4 linked regions of the Astyanax mexicanus genome follow. The protein of the gene in region 1 purifies or fractionates together with the protein of each later gene. This does not show direct contact. Links are inferred from orthologs where the notes say so. Each region holds a gene or a part of one and is shown on either strand. Other genes may lie near its edges. The genes, in order: daxx, map3k5, hipk2 and baz1b.

Region 1 (7,808 bases):
GCCCATATGTTGACTTTTTGATGTACTTTTACTAATTTCTAATGTATCTATTCATTTATGTTCCTTTTTTATATCTGTAATGCTAAAATCATTTTTCCAGTAAACTTTAATATTTAAAATTCTAAACTTCATGGACTCAATTGTCATGGTTTCATGCTCTTGGATTTCTCACATCCGAGTTTTATCCAAGTCATGCTGTGGTAAATTACCCTACAGCTTTTGCCGTTTAAGCCCGGTAAACCATCATGGTACGGGGTCACAGTTCATTTTGCATAAACGCATGCAGACTGCATGATACAGGCAGAAAGTCTACAGAAGGAACTAATGTTCACAGGAATGTTGCACCCATTGCTGTGCTGAAATTATGCCCCGCCATAGGAAATGAATGGTCGCCTGTTGCTTTCCAGTGTGAACGCAGGGTCAGGGGCTCGTACTGTCTCTCTCTCACTCTGTCTCTGAACCACTAGTTATCTGTCTCATTCTCATTTGTGGGGTTCCTCCATCTCTCTTTCTCTATAGTAACATCTTTAGGAAAAATATTTGTAGTTTAGGCAGTTAAAGTAACGCTGTTTTTGTTCCAACAAGATCCAAAAGTTGGAGCCTCTCTTGATGACAGTAGGAGAGAACCATGGTTTCAAGCATTTAATAAAAGTGCTCAAGACCCGTTACAACATTCCATCCCAAAAAACAAAACATGGTTATATTGAAATTCCATTGTTATCACAAACATAATAAAAGAGAGGCTATACAGAACGCCCAGCCTCTTTATTTTTTCCACCATAAATACCGAAAACATACAGAACCCCTAATAGCAGCCCAAAAAAGTAGGCCTTTTTTGTTGCAATCGTTACTTTGTTGTGGTGCACATTTTTATTACTTAAGAGTATTGCATTTTCATATGTTATTACTCATATTTTTTTCATTTAATGGATTTAATTTATTTGATTATTTATTTTATTGTTTATATCTAGGCTGTTCCAAATTAAAACATATACTTAATGTGTTTAAATCCTTAATCGAGTCTCTAAATGTATTAAAAGACAAAACAAAAAAGATTACTTTAATTAAATTTAAAAAAGGAAAATTAAAAACATTGTGTGGGTTGTTTACAATACTCTAAATTGAATTGTACCACAGTACCACCGATCCTGCAATGTTATTGGCGATGGGCTGAGAGGTGTTCTGTGAGTGCCATTATCAGCCGGTAATGCACTGTCACCGAGGCTCTCCATGTATTACTCCGCCACATACAGGTAACCTAGCAACAATGCAGAGCTTACAAGCCAAACAGCACAGCTAGAAACAGAGCAGCAATGGAACTCTTTTAACTCTGAGTGTCTATAACCAAACAGATCATATTTTCTCATCCTCTCTAACTCAGTCTTTCAGTAAACAGTGATAACATAACTGTGGTATAATTGGCATAATACACGTTCTTGCTAGAACATGTAATACTGGCACCGCTGTGCTGATCTAACAGGCCAATAGAACACATTATAGCACTCCCTTTTGTGCATTATTGCTGAATCCTCATCATAAGAATTTTATAAAGGAGCACTAAACAAACATTTTGGATAAAAAAAAAAAACTGTACAAAAGACTAAGAAAGTTAAAATGTAAACAGCAAGGGTGTAGATAAAGGTTAATTAAACTACATAACAAAAGAGAAAAAAAGAAAAGATTCCATGGGCCATTAAAGCAGCTCTGAGGTCATTACATTTTATTACCTTCAATACTGATAAGTCCTATTCAAACTGGTTTCGTTTCACTGAACAGTGGCAATCATTTTTATGTCTAATTCACATTTATAGGTCTGATTCTTTAACAAAAAAACAAGCTTAAACCCATACACCTACCTCTCCAAAGAGTTTCTCGTTCTCTACTTTCAGGACATGGCCTTCCTTCTTTGCAGTACTGAAAGGTGACTGTGTGATGTGTGTTGGCTTTAACTCTTGGTCTTTAGATGGAGTGGACCCTCGAAACCTTTGAAGACGTAATGTAGATGTGGAAGGTTCTTCGGCTTCATCATCATCGAGGATCACAATGCTGTCCATCGTGTTTGTGACACCTACCACAGTTAATGACATGTTAGGTAAGGAAAACTGTTGAGCAGCGTAAGAAAAATAGGAGCATTAGAACTGGATTCAAACAAAGTATACATTCCTTTTTATATTCAGTCTTAACACACAATTTACTCTGATGCTGCTGGAAACACATTTAAGGCCGAGCTACTGTTTTTCCTGTCATTACCCCAAGCCCTTAATAATATTAGATTTTAAGAAGATCGAAATACCTTAACTAGTTAGCTAACCTAGGGTGTGCCTTAAGTTTAACATTAATAGTCTTGATAGTTATTTCCGTCAAGAAAGACTTAAGTTACACCTAGCTACAGCCAACTAGTTTAGTTAGTTAACGAACCTTGCTAACTAAACAACTAACTACCAAATTTTGGCAAAATAACATAACTGCACCTTTAGAATTTTGATGAACACAGCGATAAAAAGTGCTCTTAGTGACTCTTGGCGTTTTGAGGTTACAGAATTAACTTAGTAAGGTTCACTCAGTCTTATAAAACTAGACAGCTAATAATGGTAGCTAGGAACGAGCCCCGCGCAGCTAAACTAGTTTCGCTAACTAGTTTAAACTATATAATAGGGAATAAACTGAGACAGCCAATTAACTTCACCATGTAATTTAGGCTAAACATGAGTACGTGGCACTTACTGCCTCAGCTACGTCTCTATTATAACGCTAGGTTAACGCTAAATAGTAAAAGGAAGCTGTTTAAACTGGCGTTGGTGTCTCCATTAGCTAGTTAGCTTCCTCGTTGTAGTTAGCTAGCTGATAGTTAGCTAGCAGGCTAACCTCCTGTCTGTTTAAAACCCTCACACTTAACGTTACTCCTAGTTGATAACTAATCAGTAAACTACACTGTTGGCGGATATTATACGGTATATTAAAAGCCATACAGCCGGTCCTCACCACCCATAAACACACATTATACTCATAGTGAACACGCTGGAACAAGAAGGCAACTTACGCGCTCGATTCTGCTGTATTTAACAACTCGCTAGGTTGCCAGGTCTTTGTGACAAATCCCGCCTTCAGACAAGCAAAAATAACTGACTCTTAGAGGAGTTACAGAAACCGCGCAGTAACACAGACCCTCCACTGAACACTGCTCTTTTTTCTTGCTTTCCTGACGAGCGTTCTCGTTTCACGCAGCTTTATCCGATGGAGGTTCTTAATTCAGTATTTATTCCTGTAGAAAATTCCGCCTAAAAACCATCATGGCAACACCGCGCGCACTCGTGAACAACGGGCCCCCGCGGTTCGGTCCGCGCCGCTCCGCTCCTACGGGATTGGCTGCTCCAGTTTTCTTCAGCCGGTTTTCCTCCGCGTTCAGCGGGACTTGCTCCTCACTGTCGCCCCATCTGGAGCGGAGGAGTCAGAGCCGGTGTTCTGTCGAGTTGTGCCGCCTTGCCAAACCGCGCTACCCTAGCGTATATTTTAACCGTAAAAATACAAAAGAAGCAGAAGTATCCAGCAGAAGTATCTACCCAGTAGATGTAGCTAGTATATTTAGAATAAATCACCGTATCATGGTAAAGATATGGCAGTGAGTGCTCATTTCAAAATTCTTTTGTATTTTTTTATAATAATAATTAATTCAATAATACAATAATAATTATAGTATTTATTATTATCAATTTCCATTTACACTTTCGTGCAATGACAGTGAGTCCAAGTGGTTTCATGCGCAAAAAATGCACAAAAAAGATTTGTTATATAAAAAAAAAACACAAGAAAGAATCAAAACGCGTGGGTAAGCGCGTGCGTAGTGCCTTTAGGAAACACGTATGGATGGGTATCATAACTCGACAGAACACCTGTTCTACACCTGTTACGGAAAGCCTGCACGCTGCCTATCTATGGGTGACCGATGTTAACAAAAGTACACATATCTCGATAATCTCTGTAATTTTAACGATCTGTAATTTAAACAATATTTTGCAATTTTTTAAAATGAGTTTGTAAAAGTAATATAATGTACTAGCCTGCACATCTTAAAGGATAATAATAATTATGTAATTGCTTTACTAAATATATGAACGGAAACAATATGTTTAAGGCATTTTTTTATTTACTTTTTTATTTCAAATATCACACAGTGCACGTGTGTAAACCATGTGGCCTATCAAATTTCCTTAAAGAGGCACTAAACCGTAAACCATTTTTCTATTACTAGCTGAAATGTGTTCAGTTGAAGTAATTCTTATTTTTTTATAAACCTTAAAACTTAAAAACTTAAAAAAAAAAAAAGCGCTTTTATTGCGGCCATTTCCGTGTCTGCAGTACCCTCTCAGGTTCAACTGTGCTATTGGCAAAGATGATGTTTCCATGTACTTTGGTATGCAAACAATCACAATAAGCAGATAAGACAATTAATTATACCGCTCCATCTGGGTCTCACCACTATCAGAGGAACACTGCTGCTGCAGCTCAGCCAATCAGCTCACCCTCCTGCCCTGCCTCTAAACCCATAAATCACCCAGTACCCCTCCCAAACTACCCCTCCCATTTTACTAATTTGAGCCGAGGGTGGAGTCAGCTCAATTCCGGGGGTTTAGTGAACCCCTCATTTTATAGGTATTTAAATGTAATTAAACGAATTAGCATTTGATTGGCAAAATTTTATTATATTTATATCAGTGGTGTAACTCATCTAAAAAAATGTATTAATCACCACAGTATTCTATGATTAATCATAATTAAAATCAATATTTATACTTGCCCATATTTTTGAGTGGAAGAAAGTAAAGTAACAGTGCAGTGGGTTAGGTCTGGCAGACTTTTTTAAATAAGTACTTATGAGAGTGAGAGATCGGGTGTGAGAAATGAGAGAGAGTCTTTAGCACAGTGACTCTGTTGAAGAAAAAGAAAATGTGGTTGTAAATAGCAGATAGTTGGATAGGTAGCTTGCTGGATTAGTATCTGCGCTCAGCCATGCCAATAAACAAGACAGCATCAGTCTATAGCAAATGTGCGAAGTACAGGTGTTTTGATTGTTTTCCCTAGTAATTAGCACAATCGATAACGTTATGCTGGAGCAATTACGATATTATCATAGACAATATTTATATGACACCCCTATTTCTGTTTCCTTCGTTTTAATTATAAATAACTGTAAACCGCCAGGGGGCACCTGTGAGTGAGTCTTCAGTAAATGAAAGTGAAGGTGAACTGAATGGCAAAAAACATATCAAAGTTTTATGTATTAAGTTCAGTGGTGTCAATCTTTCAAAACAATTTAATTCGATTAATAACAACAATATTCCAGGATTAACTGTCTTTAATCGCACTTGTTCTTCTTAAGAATAACATTTTTATAGTGGATATTTAAATGTAAATAAAGAAATGAATGTAGGAAATATAAAATGCAATTATATGTATATTAGTGGTGTCAATTTCTAGTATATTTTTGTATGTTTGAGGGGAGATAAAACCAATTTGTGTACTTTATTGTAAACATTTCTGTGTAGTTTAAAAATCTCAGGAAGTGTTTGGTATTACACACATGCTCACAATGGGGGATGAGCATTTAAATGGCCTGGGTAAAATATGTGACGTCCAGTATTCAGTAATGTATACACTGTCCATTTAAGAGACTCTTAAGTTAAATGCGTGGCACATGAGAAGATTCTGTGTTACAGTGCGTATATCTGTTCAGTGTGAAGCTGCTTTAACACAGAATGCTGAAAATGTGCCGCTGCACTTTCAAACACAGTGTTTTTAATGGGACAAGCAGCATAGATGTCCTTGTAGTATCTTTAAAAAGATTTTTATCCAGTGTCCAAAATCTAGAACTCTTACATCATACTACTGCTATATACACTATTGTTAATAGAACCAAGATGGACAGTAACAAATAAACAAAATGGACATTTTATTTTAAGTCAGCAATTACTGCTTAGGTGATGAGCAACATGCTTATTTATTTATACTATGTATTTGAAAATTAGTTCTATATTAGATGTAAAACTTTTTTAAATGTTTTGATACTGAAGTTGAGTAAACGTGACAAGAGACATTTGGTACAAGCCTACAAACTTAGAGTAATTATTTAAATTTACCCTGGGTGCATATAATTCATATAATAATTCATTTAATAATTCGTTTTCATATGACTTAGTCATGTAAGACTTCAGAAGCTTGGAATACACCAGTAGTCACACATTTATTTTCAACTTGTGCATCACAGCTCTTACACACATTAACAAACAGGGGTTAAAATAAACGATGAACAGGTAAAAAAAAATTAAAATTTATACAGTCATTTTCAGAGGATTCATGACATGGTATTTCAAAAGATAAAAGAAAAGAAAACTTACAATATATTTACTTAATTAATCATCAACCAATAAAACCCAAACAGGTCTAAATGAAACAAAAAAAATAAAATAAAACAAAATTCAGAAAAGACATAAAGACACCTTTTCCCATTATTTTAAAATACCACAACACTATCTCAGTGTTTATTCACAATCTGGATCATGAACCAAGCACAAAAATATCAGTATAATCATTTTAAAGAGATGGTGTACTTTTTTACTGTGGCTTCTATCATCATCTGCATAAACATAAGTTCTAATCAAGACATCCAGGAAGACATTTTCAGCACTGCGATTACTTGTCCTTCTAAAAACAAACAAAAACACAACCAGTTAATACATGCCAGTCATACATGCTATATGAAGGGTGCTATATTTATGATTATCAAACAGATCAAGTAGTGTAAAACTCAGAAATTACCTTATCCCCTGATTCTTGTGCTTTGGAAGACCCTGACATTGGTAGAGAATTAAAAACAAAGAATTAGCTTTGAATAGTACCCCCAAGGATGGAAAAAACAATGCATGCTAACACAGTTAATAGTAAAAAAGTATTTAGAGACACTGACTTTACCTGAACCTCTATCAGTATAGCATCTATTTAAATCTTCTTTAGTAGGACACATTATGCATGCAAGGACTGCACTTTGCACTTTTAGACAAAATGTAGCTTACCTGAAGATGTGAAGGTCCAGAAAAACACCTTTATTACACCATAAAGCACAAGGGCTACAGCAACCATTGCCATAGAGTCCTCTATGGAAGGAGCACCAACACCTGAAAAACAACAACAAAAAATATTTCACAAATGTGTAAGTAAATTCAAAGTCATTACATCTTGCTTCTGACAAATACTATCACATAGAATTTTACCCAGCAATGACAGCATGATGAGCGAAAAGGCATTGTCACTCACCAACGACATTCAGTGTCACACTAGCTCGTCTAAACCCTCCTTTGTGATCGGCCACGCAGCTGACCTCACCACCACGTCCGAGCCCAAGCTTGCTGGAGTCCAGCTCTATACGAGTGCTCTGGCTGTAGGTACCATCAGATGCCTGCCTGTGGCCCGACACACTGCCCTGTCCAAGGGACCGCTTCTTACCATCAGCTCCAGTAAACTCCCAGCCAAGCTCCAGAGAAAGAGGAGCAAAACCAGAGGCCTCACAGTGCACTGACACCACCTGCCCAGGGGCGGAGATGGGAAGAGGGGATGGGTAGATGCCAAGAGACGGAGGCTCTGAAAAGGGAAGAGATTGATAATAGAAATTCAATTAAATTATATGTGTTTTTCTATGTATTCCAATGCTGCCAACCAACTCAGTTGTGATTATGCAAGGAGAAATATATACTATATTATTATATCTTACCCTATTATATTTTATCCCTATTATATCAAAATTTTGGATTATGCAT
Region 2 (7,144 bases), on another chromosome or scaffold:
GATGGACACGGCCGCGCGGATGATGTGCGACTCGGCCGAGTCGAAGCGGCTGAGGCAGGCTGCCGCCACGGGCCCGTGCTCCCGCTCTTCATCCTCCCCTACCTCCCCCTCATCATCCTCATCCTGCTCATCCTCCTGCTCGTGCTCGTAAGGCTGCTCCTCGTGCTGCAGCTGCTGGCGGAACTCCTCCAGCAGCTCCTCCACACCGCTGATCTTGCTCTTGAGGTCCGACAGCGGCGAGGAGACGGCGCGCGAGGCGCTCGAGCTCACCGGAAGCGCGGAGAGCACACAGCAGAGCAGCGGCGCGAGGACGCGCGTGACGATGTTTAGCCTCATGGTGCTGTCGGGGAAAGAACGCTCGCTGTCCTTCTCATTACCATCAGCATCGTCTCCGCGCGTACCAGCCCATATTCCCTCTCTTTTTCACTCTCCTCTTATGCCCTTATCTCTCTCTATTTATCCCCCTATCTATCTATCTCTCTCCCACTCACACTCACTGGCTCGCTCGCTCAGTTCAGCAGGTGCTCGAGCTCGCCTCTGGTCCTCGGGGGACGGAGGATGCTAGAGTGAGGCGAGCAAGCGCATGCGCACTGAAATTGGGAGTCCGAATGAGCGAGCGAAAAAAAGAGAGAGAGGGAGGTAGATGAAATCCTGACGTGACGTCCCGTTTTGTCTCGCGGTACCTGAAGGAGGCCGAGCCCTACAACAACAACACCCCCCCCCCCCCCACACACACACACAAAAGTGCACGTTGACGTCATGCCAGATGCGAAGCCCATCCTTTGTTGTGCACTTCGATGGTGGTCTTATTTTTTTCCCACCCCTTTACGTACGCCCCCCCAGGGTTGTTTGGACTTCTGTCCTTCAAATAGTAGGGATGGCTGTTATGAAGTGCCTCATACACTGCAGTCAGAAGACTGTGTTCCAAACAGTGCCCTTCCCAGTAGAAAAAATAATTTAAAAAATAATTTAAAAAATAATTTTGGTGCTCTATAGGGTTCTCTTATAGGTGAGATAACAAGTAAACAATTAGGTGTTCACCAATTGTTGGCCATTATCTTGCTGCATGGTGAAGCATCTCCTAATTAATTTGGTTGCACCTTTCTTTAAATTGACAGACATGTTTCTACATCGATGAAGATTAATGAATCTGTCATGCAATATGCCCATATTGTTTCTGTCATCAACTGCTGTGGATTTCCTTAGTCTACCTGTTCGACATCTGTTACTTAATACACCAGTGACAACTTTTTTTGTTTAGGGCATTGCAAACTGTAGTACAGACTATAAACAATATTTGTATAATGGCTCTAATGTATTTTCCATCTGCTCTTAGCATTACAGTTGCTTGTTTTACTCAGGGACATGTTGTTACTCCTCTAACTATAAATGCACAGTCTTTACAGACAAAACCCAAATCTGAAACTGAGTGTAGACATTTATTGCTATTTATTTTGTAAATAATCAATGTATCAGGACACACCAGATCAAGAAATACAACTGACACCTGTCACACATTCCAATACTTTGACTTACAAGAAAATTTTGTGGGTTCAAAAGGTCTATTGTGTAAACTGTGTATCAGTGCCAAATGTAAACAACTGTAAATAAAAGCTGAAATGTTGATCTTTTTCTTTTTTTAAGAAGTATAATAAAAAAAAACTCAAATGTTTGCAGTGTACAGCAGAGATACATGGATTGGCCTCGCTCTTCTAATACATTTGGAGGGGACTGTATTTGCCATCACAATAAAATTAACTCTTTAATAGTAAAAAACAAAGTAATTTGTTGTCAGCTCATTCTCACTGTTAAACATTTAAAGTATACAGATTTTTTAAGAGCTGATGTGACCTCAAATCACGCAGTTGGTGTTTATTTATTTTATTGCTTTAATACAGTTTAGAGTCATTTATACAAATTAAATGATATGAGCAGGATTGAGACATTTTGTGAACAAGTAGCGCTTGAATATTTATTCATGAATATATAATAAAAAAAAAAAACATAATTTCTATTTACAGGTACTTTTTTCAGTTTTTAATTATTATAACAATGTCAAGGCAATGTCTAGTATATTGTATATCCTAAAATAGCAGCTTAAAAATCACTAAGCATAAAAAATTAACAAGACACTGCAATATGTAACTCTGGTGAAGTGGAGAGGACAATGTTCACAACAACTGTGTAATGCTGTGTAGCCTGAGCCATTGTTGCATAAAAGTCCACGTGATTCCATTCACTTTCTGGGATGGTTCTGCAGATCTTCTTGCAAAATGCATGTAAAAAGTGTGTGCTTTAGTGGTTGCTCAAAGCACAAATTGCACTTTACTGTAGGGGGAGACAAGAAGCGACAAGGTCAAGCAGCAACATAATGCTGCTTTAAACACCGTTTTGTTTATTTTCACAACAGTACTAGGTCAGCTCAGTGATAAAATTAGTGGCAACCAGGAATTGTCCTGCACTTCTTAAAAGTGTCACAACAGGTAATTTGAGCAATGGTAATTATGTTCAAGAACATTCACAATGTGTAGTTCATACATGCTTTAAGATTGCCATTATCATCCCTGTGATGAGGAAGTCCCCAGTGTCATATGTCAATGATTACTGTTTCATTGCTACCAACTGTTCAAGACATTGCATCCTGTCCACCATATCCCACCTAGTCCTCACCCTCCTGGAAAATGAAGACACATACTGTTCACTGACAGCATTCAACACTACCGTCTCTCAGCATCTGGCTGGAAAACTGAGTCTGCTGGGCCTGAACAACTCCCTGTGTAACTGGGTTCTGGATTTCCTGAAGTGACGTAAGGGCATCCCACTACAGAGGCATTAACCAGGCCATGCCACTAGAGGTGGCTGTGACTTCATTTGCAACAGAGAGTTTAATTCTTCTCTGCAGGATGCAGTGATACTTATTCTGGTCATTCTTAAGGGCTATTGTGTATACAGCTATTGTGCTACTACAGATAGTGGAGTGTATTTATTTAGTGATTTGTTGATGCTGTTTCCCCAGTCCTCAGTAGTCCTCATTGAGGACATCCCCTACGAAGAATCTATAGTCCTGTGGGTCCCAGTCCTTTTCCTGAAATCCTCATGCACTTATTTTTTTTCAAGCACACACATCTTAAGTATATGAGGGCCCCTTTATGTTATTACAAAGCGGGTAAACACACGAAAACATGCAGTGTCGGTTAGCAGTTGAAAAATACTAAGGGTTGTTAATTTGCATTGTCAAAAGAGGGCCACTAGAGGTCAGCATTATGACTTGACAATCGTCTTTCTGTAGAGAAAGTTTAGTTAAAGAAATTTGTTTTAAATCTCATGATGTTAAAAGAGCCTACCCTTGCTGAAACAGCAAAATGTGTAATGTGACAGTGCTGTATTTATTTATTTATTTTTTTTTTTAAACTTCTCCACGCAGTAGTTTGTTTAGTATTTAGTATGCCATGTCAAAGTTACCATCATGTAACATATAAACAGTCCCCTTCAAAAGTATTGGTGGAACAGTGAGGCTGATCCCCCTGTTTCTGCTGTAGACTGAAAACATTTGGGTTTGCCATTAAAATGTGAATATGAGACTAAAGATCAGCTTTTCAGCTTCTGTTTTCATGTATTTACATCTGGATCTGGTACACAGTTCAGAAGATAGCACCTTCTGTCTGAACCCACCAACTTTTTTCAATTATTTCAGTCTACAGCAGAAATAAATGGATTGACCTTGCACGTACCCCATAACTGTACTCTCTCTCTCTTAAAACATTGTCTTATTGTAACATGTACTCCACAGCCTTATAACAATTTACTGCATTAATCTTCTGCGATGTAGCTTTCGTAGGCAGTACATTCCACCAGTGTAAACAATTCTGAGCAGTACAACTTTCCTAGAATTCCTAGAATGACCCGTTTCAGCAGAACCTCCTCTGAATTAGTTCACATTTTAACCGTTTCATCACAAGAGACGCTTTTAAAAAGGCGGTGGAATTCCCCTTTATCCAGAACGTGAGTAATGTCCAACAGAAATCCCCCGTCACCTCCTCCATGTTCACTTTCGACCGCCTGACTCTTTAAAAGGCGTTCCCGGTATGCTAATACGCCCCGCCCCGTTTTCGCGTGAGTAGTGTGTGTGTGTGTGAGTTCTGGTGATGTGGAGGAGATAACAGTGGTGATAGGGCAGGGTCCGCACGAGCCCGCGAGCGAGCAGTCAGGCAGCGTGTGAGTGTGACTCGTTTTCGTGTTTGTTTTCGCAGCGCGATGAGCTGAGCTCGTGCAGCCTCGCGCGCCGGATCCGTCGAGCTGGTGTTGTGGTGAACATGGTCTCGCGCAGCGCGGATCGTCGAGGACTTCCCTCTCCTCCTCCTGCGGCTCTCCGACGCGTCGTGCGGCAACTTCAACTCCTCCGCGTCGTCGTGCTGCGCGGAGAGGCGCGCGGGCTCTCGGAGCCACGGCTCACCGAGAGCACTCACTTTTGAACGGACAAACAGCGCGCGCGCGCGTCGTGACTCGAGGCTGGAACGAGCGCGTGGCCGCTGACTTGACAGCAACAACAAACCGGCTGGGCAGCGGCGCTAGCGCTGCAGGACCATTTACCTACGTGTTTTTACATTTTTAACTAATTATTCACAACTTTTTTTAATGAATCTAGGATTTTCATCTTTTTTTTAACATCTGAGTGAAGAACAGAACAGTGATTTATTTCGTTATTATTATTTTATATATATTTTTTATTATTCTGCGCGGAGGAATGTCTAAAACTCGTTTGCAGAAGAAACTGGAACTGAAGTGACTGGAGGAGCGTTTTTACTGTTTTTCTTCTCTTTTCTTTTCCTCCTCCTCCGTAGAAGAAGAAGGGGAGGATGAACCCGGAGCCGGAGTGCGTCTCTCTGCCGGTTCCGTGTCGCGAGGACTGCTCGCGCCCCGCCGTGCCCGCCGCCGGCACCTTCTGGCAGGACGCGTCCTCGGCGGTGGCGGCGGCGGCGGCGGGGGTCATTGCGGGATGCCCCGCGGAGAGCGGACTCGGAGCCGGGCTCGGGGGGCTGCTTACACCGGGGAAGTGCAAAAACCGGCGGGCGAGTGTGGCTTACGTGCTGAACTCGGAGACGGGAGCCGAGAGCATGGCCCTGCAGTGCCTGCGGGACGCCTGCGAGGCCGTGGGCACCGCGCTCGAGATCGTGCTCTTCGGGAAGCTGGACTTCGGAGAGACGGCCGTACTCGACCGCTTTTACAACGCAGGTAGGTGCAGCGCTGTTTATCCCAGTTCTAAGGACTCGCTGTGAAGCTGATTCACACGCTGGTAGACTGAGAGTGAAACTGAGGAGGTGGGCTCACCAGTCTAAAGAACATAGATAGTGACAGACAGATATGTCTATTAGACAGTGAGCCAACAGTAGTAGAGTTTAGAGCAGTTCCCATTGGACAACCTTCACTATCTGGGAAAAAAAACACACTTTCTCTTGGTTATTCTAGTCAACCAGCATTGAGTAGTCATTCAGGTGGATTTGGGGTGAAATGCTTCAATCTACCCAATTGAAAAACATAGCCAACAGAACGGCTGATGTTGTTCAAGATTAGGATAGTTGCTCAGCTTAGCTCTTGACTAGTTTTGGTTAAAGTTTGATGAGTTTGGACTAAAGTGGGGCTGCAACTGTTGATTATCTTGGTAGTCAACTTTGTGATGATTATATTTTCGATTAGTCGATTAATCAACTATTATTTCTGTCATGTTCTCCATCTCTAAAAACAATAGAAACAGCTGAACATGAGATTTTAAAAGACATTTAAATGTCTAGATGCTTTTTAAATGTGGAAAGTACTAATATTTTGTGAGTAAATATGTAATCTCTAGTGTTTGGGCACTTTTGGAGTTGAGTGTAAACTGTGTGAGTGAGCCACTCAGTGAGCTACTCTTCTGTCTCCAGCACTTTGTGTAATGCAGGACTGTTACAAATGAACGATTAGTTGACAATTAAATTTGTAGTCGATGCATTTAAATAATCGACATTGACGATTATATCGACTTATTGTTGCAGCCCTAGACTAAAGCATGATCAACCTGACCAAGCTAAACCACCACTCTGACCAATCTTGACCATGCTGATGGACCGCATAATCAGCATCACCATGCTGGTTGACCAGCATAACCATCATGACCAAGCATGTTGGACAGCATTACCAACATCACCTAAGCTGGGCTGACCAGCATAATAAACATCATCAAGCTGGTTGACCAGCCCCACCACTTAATCAGCATCACCAGTTTGGATGGCCAGCATGACCAACATTGCTTAACTGGTCGACCACTATGATCAGCATGCCCAGAAAAACCATGCTTGGCCAAGAAAAACCAACATGACCAAGCCATGACCTAACTCAGAAACAGCATACGCAGTGTTGGTCAGAAGGTGGCTGACCAGCTAGCTTCCCAGCATAGGTTAATTATATATCTGGAAGACCAGGCTTCTAACCACCTTAACCATTACCTCAGCTAGAAGCAAATGCTGGTCTTGAGCTGGATTTTTCAGCAGGGTGGAGTAACTTACCAAAACATACAATAGAGGTGACTGGAACCAATGGTCACCATGACTTTAACACACAAATTGCCATTTAATCAACTATCTACAGTGTTTGGTGCACCTAAATTGGTGTACTTGGTGTACTTTTGTTAACACACTTTTTTTTAGCTCTCTGGATAAAAAATGCATTGACTGTTATAAAATAATGCTACAGGCATATTCAAAACCAAAGGTACGGTGGTGCTTGGAAGTTTGTGAAAGTTTGTGCTTAATACTGGATCCATTTTCTTAATAAATAAATGGGCAAGTTTTGTAATTTTTCATTTGTTGCCTTTGAGTTGATTTTTCTTATGTGCTAGGATTTGTGAAAATTTGTTTTATGTCAAATTTATGCAGAAGTATCAGAAAATCTCAAACAGTTCATAAACCTTCAATCACCAATATATCTGTAGTTGTTTCTGTCACCCAGTTTCAAATATGTTTGCTCTTGCAGAAACAAAAATCCTGCAAAACACAAGACATTTATCAGAAGTTAAACAAACCTAACAAGAAGTGGGTAGTTCTGTATAAAAGTACACACTAAGCAAATGTGGTTAATCCTGAAAGTGCAAGTAAAATTACTTTGAGGACAT
Region 3 (7,238 bases), on another chromosome or scaffold:
AAAAATTCCAAAAAAATCCACCATCCGAGTTAAAACCATATGCAGGTCCAGCCAAGCTAAACAAACAAACAAACAAACAAACAAACAAACAAACATTTCCTACAAAACCTTGTTCCCTTGCCAAACACAGAATACATGGAACTATTTACTGAGTTGGAAAAAGTATACATCTCTAATGATTGTAAAATAAATACCCTGAGTTCACCTCTACATTCACTGTACCAGACTAAACTTTGGTCACAAAGTCACAAAACTTATTATTATTATTTTTTTCATAATTAAAAAAAATCTGCATTGTAGATTAATACTAAGGTCATCCAAATTATGAAAAAAAAACACATGTAATTATTTAGTAAACAACAACAAAGTAGTACCACTTGCTTAGATGACAGCTTTTGATATATTGGCATTTTTTAAATCATTTTTATGAGGAAGAATCATCTTGATTGGCTTTCATGTAACAGCTGTGCTTGTAACTTGTCAAGAGTTAATTACATGAATTTCTTGACTCTTAATGAGTTTGAGAGCATCAGTGTTAACGCTGTGAAAAGGTAGAGTTGGTATACAGTGAATAGCTCTATTTGAATAATGTTCTAATCCATATCATGGCAAGAACTACTAAACTAAGTAAAGAAAAACATATTTTAAAGAATGAAGGTCAGTAAATCTGAAAAAAATTCAAGAATTTTGATTTGAACCTTTGAAAGCAGTCGCAAAGACTATCAAAATCTTTATGAAACAAAAACAAATTATCTTCAGGACCGGCCCAGGAAGGGAAGACCAGGAGTTACCTCTGTTCATCAGAGTTACCACCAGCCTCAGAAACCACAAGTTAACAGCACCCCGGATAAGAGCCACCTAAACGCTTCACAAAGTATTTTTCTACATGACTTTTTATGTGTTCCTTCATAGTCTGGATGACTTCAGTAGTAATTTACAATGTAGGAACATTGTGTCCTATCTTTTGACTTGTGTGGTCATTTAACATGTTATACTACCAAACCTATTAAGAAATCTACTAATAATAACGTTCCAGTGAAAGCTGCTGTGAAAGTTTTGCAAAACAGTAAATGCATGTATTTAAATGAAGGTAGATGAAGTGAAACAGCACTATAATGATGAGCGCTGGGCACTAAGGAGTTAACAAAAACTTCAGATATTGCACGTCTTTTGCTCATGAAGTACTGTGGGCTTTATCAGAGTCTAGAAAAATTCATTAAGTTCTCCTTTGAGGGAGCCACATGGTGACTGTGAAAGGCCTAGTGAGATCTGAAAGGATATCTAGGCACAGTGACAGGGGGAGATGACTGGAATTTAATTTAGGGCAACCAAAAATGACTCACAAAAAGACACTAAAATTCAAATTTATAGAACACTGTCGTTTATGTGGCTACCTATAAAAAGCACAAAATGCTTAAACTAGGATGGTTTCTTTATTGATGGATATCATTGATCACACTTGATTCGAATGTTATAGTTTTTTTATGTAGTATAATATTGTTTTAGAGGGATCCTTAAAAAATCTGGTACTTTATAGTACAACCCCCAAGTCCAAAACATTTAGGCATTGGGTAAAAAAACAAAAACAAAGAAAGAAAAACAAAATATATGCAATGAACTGTTGTGAGCGATGTTTTTCTTTTCCTAATACAGCTTTAACTTGCATTTGTTGATTATACAGTGAAGTGTGTTTACAAACAATGATTTGTAGAATTGATCCTGAGCCAACGCAATGATTTTCAGTAAAGAATCATGCCTGTTTTCATGCAGTACTGCCCAAGAGCCTTAAGATCATCAGCATGTTCTTTTGTAGGTTTGCATTCTCTTTTTATTACCATTATTTTTGTGCATTGGCTTTGTATATTATAGATATTACTAATAAGAGTAATTATTTACCATGTAGATGCATAAACAGTATGAACATACAAATCCCTGCATTACTGACTAAAGCTGTTTATGAGTCATTAGACTAAAGCTGTTTATGAGTCATTATACTCAACCAAGTTTCCCATCACCTAACCAAAGTGTCTATTTAAATCAAGCTTTAAAACCTAAATGAATGCGGTTATGAATTAACCGCATTCATTAACCATTCATAACCTCATTCATTTATTAACACCACAGAACCACAGCGCAGAACAGCCTAAGCTGATGCTACAGAGCTCAGTAACGTGTTAACATATTGTACATTTTCAGTTTGAGTGAAATGCAGGCCTGTCTGTGGAGCTGTATATGATTAGGCAGATCATTCTCAGCTGTGAACCTTCACTCACACTCACATTCACAGACACACATATAACCTAACAATGGCTAGCTTTAAACTTCCAGTCACGCGTTTTGCCACTCTCCAGCATCCCGTGCCAGTTGTGCAACGGGACAGCTAAAATAAAGCCTTTCTAGACCTGCAGTTCAGTTTTCTTCTGCTCAGGTCAACCCGGGTAGCGAGGCCACAGTGACTAACATATCACAGAGACAGATATTTGAGTATAAACTTTAAAACGCTCACCTCTTTTCCTGTTAGCCCACTGTGCTGTTTGTTGACAAGTACGCGCTTCTGGGTAATGTAGTTTTACAGGTTGCATAAGAACTACAAGTTGACACTGCGCTCTGGTATTTGTAGTTCAGTCGAATTTGACGATTTATTTTATGTTCATTTTTATTTTTCATCATTTTTGAAATAGAAAGGGTAGAATACTGTTGTTTTTTGCCTCTGTTATATTTCAAATATAATAAATATAAATTACAAACAATACTTTAAAAACAAAGAAATTCCAAAACTTCACAAAATAAATTGTTTTGTAGACACCTTTCATACACAACAGTCATTCAAAGTGCTTTACAAATTAGAATACAAAGAGAAAAACATGTAAGAGAATAACGGTTAAAAATGAAAATGAAAAATAATAATAATATAGCATGAATAAAATGGATTCAGACACGATTAAAACACACATATATAAATAATTTTGCATTACATTCATCTAATAATTTCCCCGTAAGTTTTTATTATAATGAATACTATAAAAGTTTCTATTGTTTTTGTTATCTGATAAAAATAAATCTGTACAATTGTATCTGTAAATTTGTAAAATGTAAATTGTATTCTAATTGTATTATTCATTTTAATATAAGAGATGTTATTTTCTGTTTTTTTTTTTCTTTGTTATTTGGTGCTTTGTACTATATGTAATATAATGTATGATACAGCAGCATTTATTGTAAATGTTTGTGTATGTAAGTAGGAATGTGTATTTAAATATGTATTGGATATTTCGTTTGCGGTTGTTGTTAAATAAATAGATATGACGCTTTTTGTGTAGCGGTTGGTGGTAAATGACAGATTATTCCCATCTGTATGAGCTCTGTAATCCGATTCCGCCCCACTTCACTCTCAAATCCACTGGCGTCATTGGAGGATCTGATCCAGGCAGGAATAGCACAACCCAGAATCATCCTCCTCCCAGCCTGTGGATTAGCGAGGAGCATCTGTAGAGTCTGCAGCTGATGGCCTTTCTGTTTGCTCAATAAACATCTGCCACAGTGTTTACTAGTCTATTATTCATAAAGTACATGGTGAAAGAATATATTCATCCACAAAAAGCCTATAGAAAACTCTGTTCTGGGAGCTTATAAAAGTAACAATTAACTACAGCTAAGTGATAGTTTGGTTCTTTAGGACTGTAGTGAAAATTATTGATTAATTATAACCTAGGTAAGTATCGCTGCTTATTATTTTATTTTTTTACATAATTGCATATGGCAGATGTTCTGTGCATTATGTCAGAAAAGAAATAAAGACTTTTCCCATTAAAGGGGGGAGGGGTTTGCCTTACCATTTTGATATACAAGTTTTTTTGCGTGATAGCAATGCTATTTAGTGGGATGCTAATCCTAAAAGATAAATATTTGAGTAAAATCAATTCAGTTTTGAACAGTTCAAACAAACAATGGTTGGCTACTTCTCCGGTGTGGTGTTGAAATAAAAGAAGGATTGCAAATAGTAATTATTATTATTATTATTATTATTATTATTATTATTATTATTATTATTATTATTATTATTATTATTATTATTAAGGTTTTTAATCAATTCAGACGGTAAGACATGCAACATGTGTAAGTACCCCTTTATTATGAGATGCAGGGGGGCGTTACGTTTGTGATCGATGAGATAGTCGTTTGATTAGCTCGCAGGCTAGGCTAAACTCGCTCTGCTCTCTCACCATTGCAACTTTTGCAGCCACTCCACACACAGACATGCACACCGCGGGCTGAAGCCCAACCTGCTGTTCGGCTCAGCCTCGGAGCCGCTAAACTGCTCTCGTTTGGTTGGGCTTGAGTTGCCGACACCTCGCTGTGGAGCCTTTATAAAGAGCCGGAGCTGTGGATGTGATTTTCCCTCTTGTTTTCTCTATTTTCCCTTCCTGATGAACTGGGCTCGTAATGCAGGAGACAGCGGCGATTCTGTCAGCGGCGCAAGATGGCAGATTTTTATTGAGTTCTGAACTGAAATATCTCTTCATATTTTGCCATGAATAACAGAAACCCTTGCACCGATGGCCCCTGTATACGAAGGTAGGAAATGTTGTTTTTATTAAAGGGTATTTTTCTTTTTTGGAGAGGTGGTAATCAGCGTTTTTGAAGGTTTATTTCACTTATATAGCGCCGTGGGTCTATTCCAAACACGGCGCTCTTGTTTGGCAGCTATAACAGATTTACTACCTCATAATATTACACTTGGCATTAATAACATGTAGCTAAGAATATATTGGAGATGTTGGAGATCGCTAAGAAGCAGTTTAGTGAAGAAAAATTGGTCGCACTGTTATTATTTCATTTAATTTAACCATTAAAATACTAGATATAGCTGGTTAAAGCTTTGCGTGCAGAATCGCTTGGTTACCTTAGCTACTAAATAGGTAACGACTAGGTTAGCGAATTAGCTAGCTCGCTAGTTACTTAGGTTAGCTAGTTAGCTGGCTAACTATTTACTATATTACTAGTTAACTCGGAATAAATATCTTAATACCAGTTAATTTCTTCACCTACAAACTCAGAAGTGAGAATAGGTTGTATGGGTTCAAGAGCTTAGCTAATTAAGTGCAGTTCTGTTTGTATTGTTTATTTTTTAGGATGTTTTTACTCTGCCAAGGCTTTGTTTTTGGATATTTGTTGTTGTTTGAGGCAAACGTTCAAAATAGATAACAGCTAACCTAAGGGTAGTTACTTAACCTATGTTAACTAACCTAGAGTGTGAAAAGTGGATCTCCACAAATCAATCACTCTTTTAAAGGGTCTCTGCTGTAAATATACGCGTTATTCTCTGATATTGACCTCTTTAATCTCTTTAGAAAGTATTGCAATGTGTTGTAATTCAGAGTTTTACCTTAAACACACAGATATCTTTGTGATTTAATGCGTCAGTCAGTCATTTATTAGAAAGAAGTGCAGTCAGTGAGCGTCTTACTGCAGCAGCACCAACTAGCTCTGTATGGGCTATGGGTGACTAATCCCAGAGCAAAATGGCACACAGTGTTTAAGCAGCTCAGTACTATACTCTAACCAATGTTAGTTAAATATGTGTGTGTCCTGTGACTTAGTATGTGAGTGTTTATGTGTGTGTGTTATTGATCCAATAGGCTAGCTAGCTGTTATAGCGGTTATAGCTGCTGCTCATGCAGGCTGAGGTAACTGGCTGTCTTAATATTACGCTGTTCTTCAAACACACTGAGGTAGCTAGCTAAGGTGATTTTGGGCTGGCAAATAAGCCACAATGATTAGTAATGAGGATAATATTAACTTTTAACAGCTTATCTCAGCGTTTACAGGACATGTTTCTCATTGTTTAGACTGTACTGTTTGTATAGCACGGATTTAAGGAATGCTTTCCGTGTCCTGGCGTCCATAGAGACTTAAACCAGAAATAGCACTGCAATAGTACACCTAAATAATCCTCAAAGAGGTGTGAAATGCAGACGTTTCTGTTATAAAACGTTAGCTCGCCCTCCACTGTTCAAGTCGATATATTTGAACTGTCCGAAGTGTTTATTTTCGCTGTCAGTTAAAGATGGGAATCTTGATTGATTCCCCAACACCCCCTCTGCTGTTGGCAAAGAGAACTGCATCATGTCAGATCCAGGAGACCACCTTCCAGTTTTCAGGTTTTACCTTTTGTATTTGTAATCTGTACAACATAACACATGTTGTATTGTCACAAGACATGTGCATTAAACTCTTTAAAGGTGAAACAAAAAAAAGAAGGAAAGAAAATCAGCTGCTACCTTGCTGTTTTTGCTGCCTTGATTTTGTCATCGGCCTCTCACAGCACTGATGTATAATTAAAGCACGACTGCGATGTAGGGTGCCACTGTGTTGGACGTTGAAGCCCTGATGCAATAGAGTGATAGACTGATTAGAAGTCGCTGCTTTGAATTTGGAGACAATAAAGGGCACGGAGGCCGTCACCCTCTGACACTCTCATCACAGCCATCAGCGATCGAGACGCAGTGGCACTTTTACAGCGAGAGAAAGAGAGAATAAGAGTGTGTATGTGTGTGAGAGAGAAAGAGAGAGGGAGAGGGAGAGGGAAAAGGCCATGTAGTCATATAAAAAAACCCACTGGACTCATTTTACTTTAGAAATGATGAGCAGGTTTAGCTATGGGAATTGCCTGGACGGTGGAGTTAAAGCTTGCACTGAAACTGAAATTGGGCTCCTCAATTACAGGTAATTACTGTATATTGTGGTTCTCCGTTTGGCAAGACAAAGAGTAGATCTCTACCTGAGTAGAGCTTTACCTGTTTTGTAAGCAGGTATGTTATATAATGTTTTGGAATATGAATAGTTTCATTATTATGATTGGGAAAGCACTTCAGTTTTAGTTTCATTCTTAAGTAGTGGCATAAAGGAATGAGAGACATGTTTATATATATCTTTTACTGGAATTCACACAAACAGCCGTTAGTTAGGGATAGGCAGATGATTTGCTATATGATTGTTGGGCTAAATTATGTCATTATGTGCTTTTCTGGTTGTATCATTTCAGATATGATGCCCTCCTATGACTTTTGACATATCATTGACCATAAAAAAGTTTCAGCATAAAAACAAAAATGCAAACTAAAAAAAATATATATTATTTTTGTTTGGGATGGGTGAAGCGATTAACCTATGAAGAGGTGAAACCTACACATTAGGCAGCAAGTGGACAGTTTAAATTAAATTTAAAGTTAATGTGT
Region 4 (7,080 bases), on another chromosome or scaffold:
CGGTTGAGAGGTCGCGCTGCTTACCCATGATTGATTTTACAACTTAGAAATTCTACTCAACCCTGACTTTATACTGCACAGTGAACACTCTTCACAGAAAACAAAAATTCGAGCATTTATTCTAATTCAATGAAACAGTTTCTCCATTATTCTAATTCAATAAAACAACAGTGTCACAGTTAAATGGCCTAAATGGGCCTTTTGGAAAGCTCAGCTGAGCAAATTTTTTTCCAGGTAACGAGTTCTGTGATTAGTCTAACGAGTAGGACAGGTGCAGTGAACACCTGATTTGCTTTCTGCACAAAAAATGCATTCAAAGAATTTCATGATTGCACTATTTCAAATTATTCTAATTCGTTGACCAGCACCTGTATATTACGTTAAAGCAAGTTTTTTTGCAGCCTACGCATATTTATTTATGGACTGTGTGAACTGTAACTGTGCTGCAGAGCTCGGCAATGACATTTTATGTTAATATATTGTGACACATTTTCACGTGACATATTGACAATATCCTTTCTAGCATGTCGAGGATATCATCAGTGCCTGAACAACCCTGACCCAACTATACATTTTCAGTCAGGAAAATCTTAAGAATCTGCTACTATTAATGCATTTTGTCTGCATGAGAAACATTGCAATAAATACTGTGTATCGTGAAATTGTCTTTAAATATCGTTATACAATATTTTTACCATCCAATTGTATTTTTTGTTACTAGATGAGACATTTCCTGCTGGATCAATAAACTAGGTATCTATCCATAGATTTATACAATTAATTCGATGCAACAAAAATGGCTAGTTAATCTCCTTCATGTGTTTGTTTCATCACTGATGTTGTAAGAACATGTGGGTCTAAATAATTTAAATAAAAAAGGAACTAGCTTAGAGTGTATGAGAGTAAAAGAGTAAGCGTGTGCGCGCGTGCGCGTTAGCCGGGGAGCCCCACAGGTTCGGGTCATGGCAGACCGGCGTGTGACGCGCGTTAGCACGGAGCGCCGCGGCCGCTAGCTCGTTGACACTGGCCCGCTAACTCGCCCAAAACGGAACCGCAGGAGCGGCAGTACCTGACCCCGCCGGGCCTGAGCCCCGCCTGCAGGATCATTACCTCCATAATCCCTCTAAACACCCGACCTCCTGAAATAATGCCAGCTCTCGGTGTCATTAGCGTCTTAGCCGGTGTGCTGCCGAGTTCTACTACCCATCAACGTGTGCTACTTAGCGGCCCTGCGCATGCGCGGAGAGCATACGTAATGTTTTCAAGTGTCCTTACTAATACTTCTGTTTCTCCAAGTGTGTTGTACAATCTGAGCTCAATGTTACAGTTTAAATAGGACAAAAATGTCCACAGGAAACCACATATTTCATTTTCACACCAATTACCTAACGTTAAAACGGACACAAATAATTACGTGATATATAAAATATTTTGTTTCTGCTGTAAGATTAAGATTTGTGATATTGTGCTTTCTATGGCAAATATTCTGCGTTCTATAGCGTAAATTTACACGTCCAGACTTTTTTCGTTTTTACTTGTACCAGATCTCTGCAATTAAGCTTTTACTTGTAGAAACTCCTATTTCACGTATCAGTTATACATTTTTAATAGTACTAATTTGAGATCTTCAGATCTATTTATTTTTATCTAATCGACCTTACAGTGTAGCCAGATATTTAAAATAACATTGCATAATAGTAAAAGTAGTGATTGTTTTTTATACATTTGTAGATCTGATATTCTACTACTAAAGATTTCATTTTTGTTTGAGATTTTACGAAGTTAAGGCTTGCCATAGATATAGTTAATAATGCTTTCTGCTTATCGACACATGGCCACTTAACAGACTGCTTTAACTAACAGATAAATGTATATATACACTATGGCAGGTAACACGCTTTGACGTTGATGGCACAATCCGGCACAACACCGGTTAGCTTAGCCGAGACAGCTTCACTCAGTTTAAGCTAGGTTAAGTAACGCTGCTAAGCAGTGAAACAAACAAATAAACAAGGGCAGTAAAAATAAACACAGCGCGGTCTGATTATATTATCAGCTTTCTGGTCATATTTATGGTCCTCCCTGGCGTGCTGCCCGCTCCTCCGTGCGGAGAGCCGGGGGGCGGCGGGCTAGGTAGAGCGCTCTGACCGCAGAAAGGATACTCTTTGTTCCTGAAGGCCTCCTTAGTGTGCTCGATGATGTAGACCTCCTCGCCGGGGCCCGCCGGCTCGGCCAGCGGCTTCACCAGCGGGTAGGGTTTCCGGCCCAGCAGCGGTGCCATCGCTCGCTTACAGACGGCGGAGGATCAGTCCGAACTCCTTCTAGCGCTGAATCTCGGCTTAAACAACACGAACCCGACCATTAGCCGCTGCGTAACTCCTGCTGAATCAAGCGGGACCGCAAAGCGCCTGTCCCCGCGTTTCCACCGCCGACATTCAAAGCGGAGCTAGCATCAGGCTAAGCTAGGTTAGGCTAGGCTACGCTAGCTGCTGTTGCTGCAGCTTCTAGGAGAAAAACAATAGCTAGCTGGAGTTCGGGGTTAGAAGAAGCCGCTTTACCGCCAGACACCGATTAAACAAGCCCGCTGCAGCATATCCAGCGGGCCGCTTCAACGCGTCCAGCCCTGTGGAGGTAAAGAAGCAAGCGGTTTTCAGCAGACCCTCCTCCTGTGGAGGGGAAACTCCTGAAGCCGGGCTGCTGAGACACAGAGACTCGCGGGAAAACAGAGGAGCCGTCCGGGGGCGTATGGCGCGCTTTCTGAGCCGTCCGCCGTCCCACAATGCCTCCTGGCCGCCTTCCCGCAGATGACGAACGCTGAGCTAGTTATCTAACTACTTTTACTCCGCTCTGTAAAGACCCGCGCCGCGCTCCGGTCCGCGAACAGACGGAATTCCCGTCCAAGAACAAATAAGTCTGGTTGAAAAATGGCGGGAGAGCTACTCCACCGGCAACATTCCGCTCGACCCCAAAAACTCCGTTACCCCGGCAGCAAGCGGCGTCGTGTCGCTCCGGTCCGCCCACCCCCCATACCCATTGGCTAATCAAATACCGCGCCCGGAGCGGAGGGATCCCATTGGTTCGCCTAGCTGTCTATCACACCACCGTCTATGCCTTGACTAGTCGGATATGTGTTTTAGATCGCAACATCATACTCTTAAACCTGAATCTAAGTTTATCTTTAATTATTTTACATTTTGTAAATAACCATACTTATAAGTTAGATTTTATTTATTTAATTATCTTAACCTATAAGAGTCCACACCAATTTCTAAATATTTATACCAAATTCAAAATTGAATCAGCCAAATTCAGTGAGCAGCTCATTCATGGTTGATGTTTTTTTGTGGGCACATGGCTGTAAACATTGTAATATTGTATAATCCTGATAAATAACACATCAATTATTTGATAAATAACACATCAGTTATTTCATAGCTTGTATTTTGTGCTAGTAATTATATCAGAACTAGTTATATTTTATGCAAAACATTTAATTTAAGTATTTGAATTGTTAAAGTATTTGGAACAGACCTGTTAAAGCAAAAATACACTTTTAATAGGAGCTTTATATCATTAGCTTTAATAGTTTTATCTTCAGCACTTCTACGCTCAGATGAACAAACACATGAACAAAGTCACAAACGGTCCTGTAATGCTGTCAGAATATGTAGTTTATGTTCAGCAGTATACATTTTTGTTTCATGTATCAGTTCTAATTTTCCGTTTAACCCTTAAAAAGTTACACCGGCAACAAGCAACTAGCGTCTATTAGGTCCGCCCACCACCAGATCTTATTGGCTACCCAAATACCGCGCCCGCAATGTAGGGATCTCATTGGCTCTCTTGGCTGTCTATCACTCTTGACCGGAAGAAAAACGCATTGCAATACATTGCAACATCGTAATCTGACAGCTGGTATCTTAGGTATTATATAAGTATGTATTATATACATTTATGACAATATACATACATATACATTATGTACATTAATGACAATATCTTTTATAATGATAATAGTAAATAATTATATCTGTAAGTAGTAAAGTGTACGAAAAAAGAGAGATATGTCAATGGTAACATACTATTCAATGACTATTCAGAAATCCATTAAGGATATGTAGTCCAATATGGCTAGTCAACGCCGCTTCTAGATATGATTGACACAAGGCCTCTCTATTCCGCACAGTAAAAGTTTGGTACCACTTTAAAATAAGACTACATTTATAAAGGGTTTATAAATGGTTTCCAATTAGTTGATTAAAGGTTAATATTTTGGTTGTAAATGCCTTACAATTAATTAATAATCAGTTATAACACATGCGTAGAAAGGGCAACAATAACCTGTTGTTTGCCAAATAGTGAACCCACAGCCGTCTATATTGTTAAACTTCAGATATTGTCATATACTCAACTTACTTTGTCTTCTCCATCTAACTCATATTGCTTCTCCATCTCCATATCCTCCATCAGTCAACATCAGTTTAACCATTTAACTTCCGAGTTTAATCATTCCACCACTAACTCCTTTAGTCATTTATAATAATGTGGTGTATATTGTCATATGAAATAATAAAACTGACATCTAAGGGTTTAGCTATATTTACCCTTACCTTTACATTTTCTGCATACTATCTAAAATCGTCCTTGGGGTTGTCACAGATATTGATATAATGCTGCCAGGTGCTAATGTTCAAAGAACATAAAAGTACTGTTGTGATCCTTAAGGTTGAGTGGCATCTTCTTTAGGACAGCATTCCAGATGTAACCTTCCTTTACTGGTCTGCTGCAGGCAATTTCACTGCAAGTAATTACTGCAGCTCCCAGCATGTAGTTTTCCATTTTGCTTTTGCAGATTCAGATTTTTAAATTGTCGATGAGTATTTGTTAATGAGTTACAAACACTTATAACCACTAAATAGGAGCCTTATTTAAAGTGTAAAACACTTCACTATTTGTTAATGAGTTACAAACACTTTATGATCACTAAATAGGAGCCTTATTTTAAAGTGTAAAACACTTCATTATTTATTAATGAGTTAAAAACACTTATCATCACTAAATAGAAGCCTTATTTTAAAGTGTAAAACACTTCACTATTTGTTAATGAGTTACAAACACTTATAACAACTAAAAGGGAGCCTTATTGTAAAGTGTAAAACACTTCACTATTTATTAATGAGTTTTAGACACTTATAACCACTAAATAGGAGCCTTATTTTAAAGTGTAAAACATTTCACTATGTGTTAATCAGTTAAAAACCTTTATAACCACCAAAAGGGAGCCTTATTTTAAAGTATAAATAACTTCACTATGTATTAATGAGTTACAAACACTTATAAACACCAGATAGGAGCCTTGTTTTAAACTGTAAAACACTTCACTATTTATTCATGACTTACAAACCTTTACACAGCTAATATGATTTTGTCACATGAAATATAAACCTAGTTACAACAGAAACAACCAAACATTTTCATTCATGCAAAGCACACTTTTCATAATAATCATAATAATCACTTTTCATAATAAAAGTCCCACTGATTCAGACATTAAAACAGTCGTTGCTGAATGATAATTAGAGCACTTGAAAATAGATCATGAAATTCATACTGGAAAGGCTTTTTGAATATTCTTTAACAGGCGTCCAAGTGGCCCATCAGGGTTAAGAGATCCAAGCCAGGATGACCATTCAAGTACCATGAGGTGCTCCTTCAACAAAGTCTCTGTATGATTTCCTCTTAGTCTACAGATATGTCCTTTGATGATCCCCCAAGCTCTTTCAATATGTTGTGTGTGGCTACCGGACCGAGGATCCACAAACCCCCTGATATGGTTTGTGGTATAGTGTTTGTACCCAAAGTTTCTCAACACAACCCTGTATGCCCTCCACTCATCACTGATTATGCTACTTCCTGCCTTAACTCTCCGTCTTTTGTCTTTGACTCCCATCATTCCAAAGACCCATTTCTTTCTCCTCCAGGTTTTTCCAAACCGGCCCTGCGCATGCTGAAAACTACGGTGGCCGAGAAAGCCCAACGCAGTGCAAAAAGAAAAACGCGCTGCAAAAGCACAAAACACATCCATCAAAATTACAACACAGGCGCAGCAACTAGAAAAACGCGCTGCAACTAGAAAAACGCGCTGCAAATAGAAAAACGCGCTGCACATAGAACCACAACACAACGGAAGTGAGTCACAACACAACGGAATTTTCCCTGGGGACCTGTACCAGGTACTGTACCAGCTAAGCTGCGTCTTCAGTAACGTCTCGGACTTCACTATGTGTACAAAGGACAATAAGTGGCAAACAAGGCGTTTTGTGAAGCAGAACTTTTAATAAACATAACTTACTTTTCAGAAGCTTGTTTGCCACTTATTGTCCTTTGTATACAGCTAATACAGCATCTTTTAAGGTCCCCCGGGAAAATTCCGTTGTGTTGTGACTCACTTCCGTTGTGTTGTGGTTGTATTTGCAGCGCGTTTTTCTATTTGCAGCGCGTTTTTCTTTTTGCAGCGCGTTTTTCTATTTGCTGCGCCTGTGTTGTAATTTTGATGGATGTGTTTTGTGCTTTTGCAGCACTTTTCAGTTTGCACTGCGCTGGGATTTCTCGGCCACCGTAGAAAACCCCCCCAAAAAACGATATTTTAAAGGGTGAATTATCAGTATAATGCATACAAATGACAGAAAATATTGCACATCTTATTCCAAACTGTTACATTAGCAATTAGATACATAGGAACAACTCTATAGAAATATATTTACTTACATTTTACATTTTATTGTCTTTTTATTTATACATAGGAACAAATATTTGTGAATAACTCCTTAGAGAGCTGTGGCAAGTAATCTCTGTGTATTTAATGTTTGATAGTTAATAAATATAAACATCTAGGAAACAGAACAAGGGTGGGTTTCCCGAAAGCTTGGTAACGCTAAGAATTTGTTAAGTGTTTCCTTAACTCGTGCGTATAGCTGAAGAGAGTAGCGTTTCTCCTTTCAACGCCTCTTAATTAATTTCTCTTTTTAATTGCACACAAGATTTATAATTTTTAAAGAAAAGTTACAGCAGTATAGAAAT

The links.
Region 2: the proteins of daxx (region 1) and map3k5 purify together in Homo sapiens (affinity purification with western blotting; 7 studies listed by BioGRID and IntAct, with this or other methods). This does not show direct contact. The link is inferred for Astyanax mexicanus from reciprocal best matches to the Homo sapiens genes DAXX and MAP3K5.
Region 3: the proteins of daxx (region 1) and hipk2 purify together in Homo sapiens (affinity purification with western blotting; 3 studies listed by BioGRID). This does not show direct contact. The link is inferred for Astyanax mexicanus from reciprocal best matches to the Homo sapiens genes DAXX and HIPK2.
Region 4: the proteins of daxx (region 1) and baz1b purify together in Homo sapiens (co-immunoprecipitation; 3 studies listed by BioGRID and IntAct, with this or other methods). This does not show direct contact. The link is inferred for Astyanax mexicanus from reciprocal best matches to the Homo sapiens genes DAXX and BAZ1B.

Annotation. Positions count from the first base shown.
Region 1 is NC_064410.1:22,184,460-22,192,267, reverse strand, and holds the start of daxx (death domain-associated protein 6), read right to left. Parts: upstream 3,005-7,808; 5' UTR 2,990-3,004; coding exon 2,983-2,989; intron 2,069-2,982; coding exon 1,857-2,068; intron 1-1,856. Other genes in the region: tapbp.1 (TAP binding protein (tapasin), tandem duplicate 1), read right to left, coding at 6,688-6,699, 6,814-6,845, 7,068-7,169, 7,309-7,632. UniProt on the Homo sapiens protein: Transcription corepressor known to repress transcriptional potential of several sumoylated transcription factors. Down-regulates basal and activated transcription.
Region 2 is NC_064408.1:49,309,845-49,316,988, reverse strand, and holds the start of map3k5 (mitogen-activated protein kinase kinase kinase 5), read left to right. Parts: upstream 1-4,123; 5' UTR 4,124-4,856; coding exon 4,857-5,232; intron 5,233-7,144. Other genes in the region: lrp11 (low-density lipoprotein receptor-related protein 11), read right to left, coding at 1-336. UniProt on the Homo sapiens protein: Serine/threonine kinase which acts as an essential component of the MAP kinase signal transduction pathway. Plays an important role in the cascades of cellular responses evoked by changes in the environment.
Region 3 is NC_064416.1:17,790,300-17,797,537, forward strand, and holds the start of hipk2 (homeodomain-interacting protein kinase 2), read left to right. Parts: upstream 1-4,217; 5' UTR 4,218-4,556; coding exon 4,557-4,575; intron 4,576-7,238. Other genes in the region: tbxas1 (thromboxane-A synthase), read right to left, coding at 2,507-2,582.
Region 4 is NC_064416.1:32,016,991-32,024,070, reverse strand, and holds the start of baz1b (tyrosine-protein kinase BAZ1B), read right to left. Parts: upstream 3,008-7,080; 5' UTR 2,282-3,007; coding exon 2,163-2,281; intron 1-2,162. UniProt on the Homo sapiens protein: Atypical tyrosine-protein kinase that plays a central role in chromatin remodeling and acts as a transcription regulator. Involved in DNA damage response by phosphorylating 'Tyr-142' of histone H2AX (H2AXY142ph).